Rattus norvegicus: one gene and its partner. The main gene of each other region encodes a partner of the protein of the gene in region 2 in a complex. Links are inferred from orthologs where the notes say so. Each region holds a gene or a part of one and is shown on either strand. Other genes may lie near its edges. The genes, in order: Eme2 and Mus81.

Evidence for each region.
Region 1: the proteins of Mus81 (region 2) and Eme2 are in contact, whole or in part, in a crystal structure (PDB 7F6L), measured with the Homo sapiens proteins. The link is inferred for Rattus norvegicus from reciprocal best matches to the Homo sapiens genes MUS81 and EME2. Residues at the interface, in NP_079404.3 of Homo sapiens: His330, Glu351, Phe354, Lys357, Arg358, Arg363, Val365, Glu381, Leu385, Gln386, Thr389, Asn390, Gln392, Val393, Ile394, Phe398, Lys400, Arg401, Tyr411, Leu414, Leu415, Arg417, Gly418, Leu419, Arg421, Leu422, Pro447, Ile464, Lys467, Ala468; in NP_001244299.1 of Homo sapiens: Glu140, Arg177, His179, Glu220, Glu221, Val224, Leu225, Gln227, Leu228, Trp229, Asn231, Leu232, Asp233, Leu235, Arg245, His246, Ala249, Val250, Lys252, Ala253, Leu254, Gln256, Tyr257, Lys260, Gln261, Glu264, Gln266, Phe268, Phe270, Cys271.

What each region holds. Positions count from the first base shown.
Region 1 is NC_086028.1:14,417,586-14,421,968, forward strand, and holds Eme2 (probable crossover junction endonuclease EME2), read right to left. Parts: upstream 2,905-4,383; 5' UTR 2,888-2,904; coding exon 2,653-2,887; intron 2,539-2,652; coding exon 2,402-2,538; intron 2,053-2,401; coding exon 1,960-2,052; intron 1,337-1,959; coding exon 1,245-1,336; coding exon of another isoform or gene 1,094-1,244; coding exon 1,000-1,093; intron 850-999; coding exon 734-849; intron 639-733; coding exon 449-638; intron 422-448; coding exon of another isoform or gene 377-421; coding exon 206-376; 3' UTR 150-205; downstream 1-149. Other genes in the region: Mrps34 (28S ribosomal protein S34, mitochondrial), read left to right, coding at 3,005-3,325, 3,474-3,516, 3,600-3,892. UniProt on the Homo sapiens protein: Non-catalytic subunit of the structure-specific, heterodimeric DNA endonuclease MUS81-EME2 which is involved in the maintenance of genome stability. In the complex, EME2 is required for DNA cleavage, participating in DNA recognition and bending.
Region 2 is NC_086019.1:212,222,177-212,226,564, forward strand, and holds the start of Mus81 (crossover junction endonuclease MUS81), read right to left. Parts: upstream 2,893-4,388; 5' UTR 2,761-2,892; coding exon 2,626-2,760; intron 2,531-2,625; coding exon 2,401-2,530; intron 1,774-2,400; coding exon 1,691-1,773; intron 1,336-1,690; coding exon 1,234-1,335; intron 1,101-1,233; coding exon 1,032-1,100; intron 898-1,031; coding exon 812-897; intron 397-811; coding exon 259-396; intron 165-258; coding exon of another isoform or gene 129-164; coding exon 33-128; intron 1-32. UniProt on the Homo sapiens protein: Catalytic subunit of two functionally distinct, structure-specific, heterodimeric DNA endonucleases MUS81-EME1 and MUS81-EME2 that are involved in the maintenance of genome stability.

The DNA of each region.
Region 1 (4,383 bases), on a different chromosome or scaffold from region 2:
CAGGCCACTACCCTGCACTCTTATGTTCACCTCAGCTTCCCTCCTCCTCCCCCACCTCCCATGGTGCTTCCGTTTGACCATTGGGCAACAGAGTCTACCCCGGGCTGGACCCAAACCTCCTTGCCTGCCCCTTAGAGTAATTAGTCAGATTCTTGGGCAGGCCTGTCTTGTTGTATTGATGGGCAGGAGGCGACCCAAGGTGCGGTCAAGAGCTCAGGTCCAGCAGGATGTCAGGGTTGGTGGTGGTCAAGAAGATACAGATTCTTCGAGAGAGGTCAGGCCCCACTCTGCGAGGCTGCTTGCCCCCAGGGGCCTTCACAGGGAGGTCAGCTAGGAGGCTCAGGCGCTCCTGCTCTGTGCTGCAGTCCAGTAGAGCCTAGAGTGGGCACAGGTGTGAGTAGGTACACCTTAAGTCCTGGTCCTGGAAGGAGAAATTTAGGGGACTCACCTGTTGCAAAAGGCGGGGTGAGGGGAAGGCAGTAACAACAGCATCAGCCACAGCTGGGCTGACCCGGTTGAACTGTCTGATTTGTCGCCACCACACTCCTCTGAGCCCAGAGCCATCTCTGGTCACTTGCTGGCCTGAGGCCCAGTGCCCTGCTGTACAGAAAGAAAAGGCCTGGGAGTCCCGGAACCGCCTGAAATGGAGACACCCAGACAGGCTTTGAGAACACTATCTGTGCAGCCCTCCAACCCTGCCCTGTCTACACTCAGTGCCTGCAGGGGTACATACTTAGAGGGGAGCTGGGCGAGGGCCTTGGTGAAGGCACACACATACTGACTCAGCTCTCGCCACGAGGCTACCAGCAGCACATCCAAGTTTGCATGGAGCTGAAGCAGTACCAGAGCCTGGGGAGTGTGAGAGTGGGCATGGATCTTGTCCTCTGGGGAATACCAATCCAATGACGCTGGGAATTAAGCCCAGTTCTGACAGGCCAGACCGCAGCCCAAGTGCAGAGACAAAGGCCGGGCATCTAACAACTGAGCAACAGTTCTCACCTCCTCCACCTCTGACCAGCTGATGGCTACCCTGGCCTGGGCTTCCTCTGACTTCTTTGGTGGCCACGTCTTCTGAGAACTGGGCTTGCAAGAACTGAACAGAGGCAACCATCTTTTGGGCTCCCAAGTCTTCCCACATCGGCACAGCCCACCCAAGCCAAGTGGGATCAGGTGACAGGGCGGCTGGGGCAATCCACTTCCCTGGAATCCCACCCCACCCGCCCCTCTGAGGCTGAAGGTGATACCACAGGTACGCATCCAGTCCGATGACCGCCAGATGGGAGCGGGTGGGACTCTCGGGAGAAAGCCAGGGGACGGAGCAAGGTGGGTCTGTCATCTGCAAACCAGAATATCCCCACACTTGTTCACAGGAGGGCTTTGGCAGCAGACCTGTAGCCACCAGTATGGCCAGTTTCCAGAGGGAAACGTATAGGTCCTCTGTTTTCTGGAACTCAGTTCTGTTTCCTTAAGGCCCAGGAGTACACAGGCACTCCAGGTTTTAGTGTAGAAGGGAGCCAGCCCTCTTCTGGTCCATTTCTACACCCAGCCTGGACATTGGGCAGCGCCCAGCAAGTGTCTGACAAATGTTGGCCCTAGGACATCAACACCTACAAAGCCTTTAGCAGATATCAGCTAGGCACTGCTTCCTTTGAGTCTAGGGAAGTCAGCAGACAAGTGAGGGATTCTTAGCTGTTGTAGACAGACACCACAGCCTGGACCTACAGCACATGGACAGAACCAGCTAGGATTCTGGGCTCCTCCCCCACCACACCCCCGGCCAGTTTGCAGTCCAGGTCACTATTCGCAATTCTCCCAAAGGTCCCTCAATGTTCTTATGGCTAGAGCACTCGGCAGGTTTCTTCCTCTTACCCTCAGCACCTTCACCATCCTCAACAGAAGCTCCAGCTCATCCCAGACTGGGGAGCGAGACCTACCAAAGACAGACCTTTCCCCGAATACCTGGGTCAGCTGCACAGCACCCTGAAGAAATTCCTGGGGTTCCAGCAGCAGCAACTGTTCCTGCTCATTTTCAGCCTTCCCCTCCTGAGGCACCTGTAGGGGATCAGCGGCCCTGCTAGCCACCTGTGTGGGGTGCAGGGCTTCTCCCGCCTCTGGCAAGTCAGTCATCAGACACTATCAATAGCCCTCCAGGCTCCACACACAGTGACGTTCAGGCCAGCTTAGGACTATTCCCCAGAAGTCCCAGAATACCAAAGTAGCCCAATCCCCATCCTCATTGCCAAGAGGAGGTTCTCTGGCAGCAGCTCGACTTGGGCATCCTCCAGTTTTTAGGTTACTCTTATGCGAGGCGAGAAAGATGAATGCAGCTACCTCCCTAGCCAGAGGAAAAATGAAACATGGATTAGGACTGGCACTGGGCTGGTCATAGGGAGACACTCACATTGCTGAGGGCCGGGTCGGGCCTCACAACGCTCCACTGTAGGCTGCGGGCCTGGTGCTGCGGCTCAATGCGGCATTCACAGCCTAGTGTACCCAGCGCCTCCATCAGGATGTCGGAGCCTGCATCTTCCAGCACAGCTGGACCCAGTAGGCGATAATGCGGTTATTCCACCATCTCCAGTGAGGACTAGCGGGTGACGACGCTACCCCGTCGTGTGGCTGGCCCCAGATTCCCTGCCCCGGTCCCCTCACCTGGGTCCACGCACACCACCAGACGCTCCAGGACCTGATCTGCCCGTAAAGCCTTGGCCGCAGCTCTTCGCTCTCCTACTGAACTCCGGGCTGGCGTGCCGACTTCTCTAGCAGGGGCACCTTCGGCGTCTGAGTCGGAAATCTCCCAGGTCTGAGGTCGCCGATGGCCGAGGCGCGGGCCCCGGCCCCGACCGCGATGGGAGCCCGGGACTCTCTCAGGTCCCACCTCCGCCATAAACCCATCCTTCCTACAGCTTCCGGACGTACCCGGATGCTTTTGTTCAGGACACTGGCCGCTTCCGGAATGGGGAGCTGGTGAAGCGCAGGTTTCCTGTGGAGTAAGGACACCGGCATGGCGCGGAAGAAAGTGAAACCCCGGCTGATCGCTGAGCTGGCCCGCCGCGTGCGCGCCTTGCGCGAGCAGCGGAACCAGCCGCGAGACTCGCAGCTCTACGCCCTAGACTACGAGACGCTGACCCGGCCGCACTCTGGTCGCCGGCTGCCAGTGCGCGCCTGGGCCGACGTACGTCGCGAGAGCCGCCTTCTACAGCTGCTCGCCCGCCTCCCCTTGTTTGGCCTGGGTCGTCTGGTTACCCGCAAGTCCTGGCTGTGGCAGCACGACGAGCCATGCTACTGGCGCCTCACGCGTGTGAGGCCTGACTACACGGCGCAGGTGCGCTCGTTCCCTGCTTACACTTTCATCTTGCTCACCCTGGACTGGTTCTACCCACCCGGGAACCACCTGGGGGTGTTTGTCTCCCTTGCCCACGTAACCTAGTGGCATGGGCTCTGTGTTGACAATCCTTCCTCTTGTTCTGCAGAACTTGGACCACGGGAGGGCCTGGGGTATCCTGACTTTCAAAGGTAAGGCTGGGTGCTGGATGGAGCCGGTGATGGTTCGCATATTATCCGGCCAGCAGGTAGTCAGCATGTCTTCTTTCCTTCAGGGAAGAGTGAGGAAACGGCTCGGGAAATCGAGCAAGTCATGTACCACGATTGGCGGTTGGTACCCAAGCACGAGGAGGAGGCTTTCACTGCGTTCACTGGGAAAGCAGAGGACAGATTGAACCTTGTCCCCTACCCACCTCTGCTGCGGGCCATGATCCTCGCTGAGCGACAGAAAAACGGGGATACCAGCGTCGAGGAGCCGCTCCTGAACCTGGAGAGGACTCGAATGCGCCCCTGGGACTACCCTGCAAAACAGGAGACTAAAGGGAGAGCCAAGGGCACCCCAGTCTAACTGCCAGGATTGGCAGAGAGGTCCTGTGAGTCATTTGATGGACAAGTGTCTTTGACTGTGTCAGAATCTCCCCTTTGGTGGGGAGACCCTAAAGCCTTGACACATCTGCCAATGAATAATGGGGCAGATGACAGATTGTGATTTTCAGGCGGCCCCTCGCCGATTCCTCCGTCTGGAAATAAACTCCCGAAATGGCCTGTGCTGTGGTTTCATTATGTGTGTACCGTTGGAAAAGGGAGGGAAGGTGGCAGTGTGGAGCAGAGCGCCTGGTGCTATGGTACACGCAGGCAGGCCTTGGGCGGTACACTCAGGCAGGTCTTGGGCGCTGCCGCTGCGTTTTGGGCTCAAATGTGCTGGGATTGCAGAGCCCCAGGAGAGCCCGCGCCAAGAGGTCCTTTAAGGGAGGCCCCGCCCCCTTGCCGCTTGGTCCGCCTCATCCGCCGCCATGATCTGCCTGGTGCTGACCATCTTTGCTAACCTCTTCCCCTCAG
Region 2 (4,388 bases):
AGTCATTCTCAAGGTTTCCCCTACTCCCTTACCCTCTGGTTTCGCCAATGTCCACACACAACAGCACTCTGTACTCGCTAGGCCTTAGCTCCAGTGGTCTCTGTTGGACGCCCACCTCAGTAGTGCCACTACAATGGAGTGGAGGCTGTGCATAAGGCCAGAACCTTCAGTGCCAGAGTAGTTCCCATGACTCATGGGGCATTGGGCTCAGTTATAAGTCTCTGAGATAAAGGTATGGTTGCCCCATTTCTCTCTTACGGTTCTGACAAGATGGCTTCTGGAACTGGTGACTCTTCATGATGCTCCTCTGGCTGAAAGGCAGTGTTCAGAGTGCTCAGGCCTTCTGCCTCAGCCAGCTTCTGGGCCAGCTCCAGGCCCTCTGGTGTCAGTGCATACCTAGGAGGTGAGGGACACATGAAGTTTTTAATCTTCTTTATCCCTGACATGCTCTCCTTCCCTCAACTAGGTGAGCCTTACCCTCTTTGGTATAAGTTCAATGGCTCCCCATCTCCTCTGTCTCCTTGTCCCTCAGGTCAGCTTCTTCAGGACCTCCCTTAATGGTGTCTCAGCTTTGCAATGCGTGTCTCCCAACTCCTTCCCCTGTCTTCACTCATCATACTGTCCTCCCTCCCCTCAGAGGCTCATACTCCCCAGGTCTTCCAGTATCAGGCTTTTTAGCAGGTAGGCTGGCCTTCCCCAGCCTCAGCAGCACCAGGTCTAAGACTTGTTGGGTCATTAGAGAGGCTAAGAATGCCCTAACTCCTGCATGTGTCCCATCCCTGCCTCATGTGCTCCCCGTTCCTTGCCCAACCTGGCTGGCCGATGAGTTCTGAGGACTAGGTTCCTGTGGAGGAGCCCTCGGAGGGCAGGCCAGGGTCTTGAACTTTCAGGCACTACCTGTGAAAGGGAAGGAGACCCTCAGAGAGGCCCCTGACCATACGCCACATTTGGATCAGGTTTACCCCAAGGGTGTCTGCCATGAAGGGAAAACTGCAGTGGGCTCTACCCGCCCACTCTCGGCGGATGCTCACCCTGGGGGTCTTCTGGGCACATTTCTGCAGCAGCTCCTCTTTGGTTAGAAAGCTGTGGCCATCAGAATTCTGAAACAGTGGTAGAGATGAGGTAGGTTCAGGTCCAGGGCTCCTCACCCTGACATGGAGTGGCCAGTACACACTACCCAGGCACTTCTGTGACCATCCTGCTGCATCCCACCCATGAGCCTGACTGGCTTACCAGGTGCTCCCTGTAGAGCTGCAGCAGGATCTCTCGAGCACCTGAGTTCTGAGCTGGCCAATAGCCAGCATTGGTGCTTCCTGCTTGAGGCTGGGTGGGAACCTGAGAGTCACAGGGGAGGGAGATGAAGCTATAAACGCTTGCAAATCTGGAATGTGATGGTGGGAGAGCAGCAGCAAAAGTTGGAGGTATGTGCCAGGCCCAGTCCCCAGCTACAACTATGGAAGAATAACATGGTAGATGTCCCACAGCTTTCTGGGCTAGATCTTTTAGCAGCTCCCTTTGGAACTCTGTATACAGTAGTGTCAATAATCCTACTTAGGAATTAAGATCGAGCCTCTCACAGAGGGTAGAAGACTGGCCTGCGCCAATCTCAGTCAAACCAAGAAGTCTTACTCTCAACGCCCCTGCCCCCATTCCCACCTCCCTTTAGCTTTCTTCCTTTCCCAATCCTCACTGGCATGGAAGAGCCCTGGACCTGGGCAGGTGGCCCTTTGCTGGCTCTCTTCTTTCCAGATGGTGAGCTGGGGGCATGGTCACCTGTAGAGATCAGAAGAAAGTCAGTCCTGCACACCATTCGGCTCCCAGGAGGAGCCTAGATGTAGTCTGCTCACTTTGTGAATTTGAGTGTCGTATTTTAAAACTTTTTTGTGTTTTATTGTATGTATGTGAGTGTTTCACCTGTGTATGTCTGTGTATCACTTGCATGCAATACTAGAAGAGGCCAGAAGTGGGGGCTGGATCCCCCGCAACTGGGGTTTTGGTTTGGAGACAGGGTCTCACTGAGTGAAGCCCTGGCTGGCCTCTAACTCGCCAAGATTTTCCTGCCTCTGCTTCCTTTGAGTGTTGAGATTAAAAGCATGAATCACTATGCCCAACCCATGTCATTTTTTGGAGATAGCCTCAGATAGCCCAGGCTAGCTTTGAAGTCACTATGAAATTGAGAATGCTTCTGACTCTTCTACCTTCATGGTCTTGTTTCACAACTCCACCCACCCACCCTGTCTCAGTGAGCTAGCTTTGTTCGTGAGAACTAGGAGGTTTACAGAGCATCAATCACTAGCCCTGGGTGGAACAGCAACCACATTGTGAGGGGGATATTTGAAGTTAAAGTGGACACAGCCAGCACCTAAGAAGTTTAGATCACCAACTCCCAGAGGTGCTCACCGCCTGATGCTAGGTGCTCCTTCAGCCTTTCGTCCAGCATGCGACAGAGCCTGTCTCCGAAGTGCTGGAGTATCTTGGCTTCTTTCCCGTTGCGCAATGGTAGCGGGTACCGCTGGAGGGAGCGCAGTGCCTGGCGAGCACAAGGGAGAAGGGAACTCATCAAACTAGGATTCATGATCACCTGGCTCTGCCAGAGCCTGTCACTAGAAAACAGCTGGGACTCACCTTTTGAAACACAAAGCGCGTGTGGCGCCCTCTGCTGGCTGCCTCGTCCCGCCACTCGGTTAGCCAACGAACGAAGAGCGGGTTGGGGCAAACAGGCAGCGGACGCTTCCGGCCCAAGCGGACCGGCTCCGCCATAAGATCTACACTGGTTCTTTCGGAGTCTCAAAAAACCCTGAGACTGGGATCTCGACGGTTCAATTGGTATAAGGACACTTGTTTGAGGGTAGGACCTCTCCAGCCTAGTAGGGCACTAGATCAAGGATTGCCCTCCCTTCCCCATGTACTATGCAGCAAGAGGCTTGTAAGTTCGGCATGCATCTCCTTGCTCTTAGGACCGCCCCCATTCGCCGCCAGCACCAGCCTTTTGGACAGGCCCCACCCAGGCCACCGAGCTTTGACCCACCCTTTCCTCTCACCCAAAAATTCGAGAGCAGAGTCGTTTTTTAGGCTGACTGTTAAAAGAGCGGACAGCGCCCCTTGTGACTGGGAGGGCTGGCTGGCGGCGGGGAGTGGGGTGGGGGTGGGGGTGGGGGTACGCTCAGAAACCTGAACTTGCCTGCTTGCTTCAAGGTCTCAAGGCTATTTCAGGCTCACTATCGTAGAAGAGGCTAGAAAAAGGCTTGAGAAAAGTGGGGGGAGAAGGACGGACACAAGCCCAAGAACATTTGTGAGAGAGACATCTATGATGGGGTGCAAGGGATGAAATAAAGGTAAGGCAGGAGTGGCAGTAAGATCTCGAAATGTGCGAAGTCGGGGATGGGCACAGAAGTCTCAGGCTAGGTGAATGACGAGGATGTGTATCGCAAGGGCAAGGAGAAATAAAAGGTGTGTCCTGGCAGGTGGGGAGTTCGAACATGGGCTCAAGGCTGGATTCCGGGAAAGCTGGTAGACACTTTGCTTTTGTGGCTCATTAAAGGTGAAGGAGCCTCAGGGAGGATAAAGATGGGAACCTTGCTGAGGGAAGGATGACTCAGACTGAGGGACACAAGGCTCAATAGAGCACAGTGGTCCCTTTAGGGTTTGGAACAACGCACGGTCTTCAGCTGTCATGCCGGAAGTCGCTGGGCGCCCAATTCGCAGACCCTCGTCTCAATCTAGCTTTCCGCACCCGCCTCCTCCCTCAAGCAGCCTTATAAGGAGCCTGCAGCTGGCGCTTGGGCTGGGCACGCCCTCTGGAGGCTCATGCCCTAATAAGGACATCTAGGGCATCCCGCGGCCGGGGGCGGAAGAAGCGCGTCTCCAGGGTAACTGCGTAGCCCCTCCCCCCGTTGCTCTGGGAAACTGCGAGTCTCGTTTAAGGCGGAGCTCGTCTTCTCTTTAGCCTCGGCACTTGGGATAGGAGGGGGTCAAGCTTTGGCCTCCACTTGGAGCTCCTGCAGCTTAGACCCTTCGTGCAGCAGAAAGCCCCTGACTACAACCCCCGGCATCCTCTGCGTGTTGCCTTGCTCCTGGGGTAGCTCCTCATTTACACCCTTTATTCCGCTTGGGGAAGTCAAGGCCCCTATTTCGTCTGCCTCTGACTTGTTTGTGACCTTGCCCTCTTTTTCTGCAGAGTGTGACTCCATGGTCATTGTTTGAGGTCAGAGAAATCTTGCTGGATTTCCCACCCCAGTTTATTTTAAACTCTTGCTTTCATAGAGAGTCTTTGTGTTAAAATAATCATAAATCTATCAACTCGGGAACTAAGTTGAAGTATTCCTTTTCTTGTATCCTAGTAAATGAAATATAAAGTCTTTAATGCACAATTCTTCACCCTTTCCCTA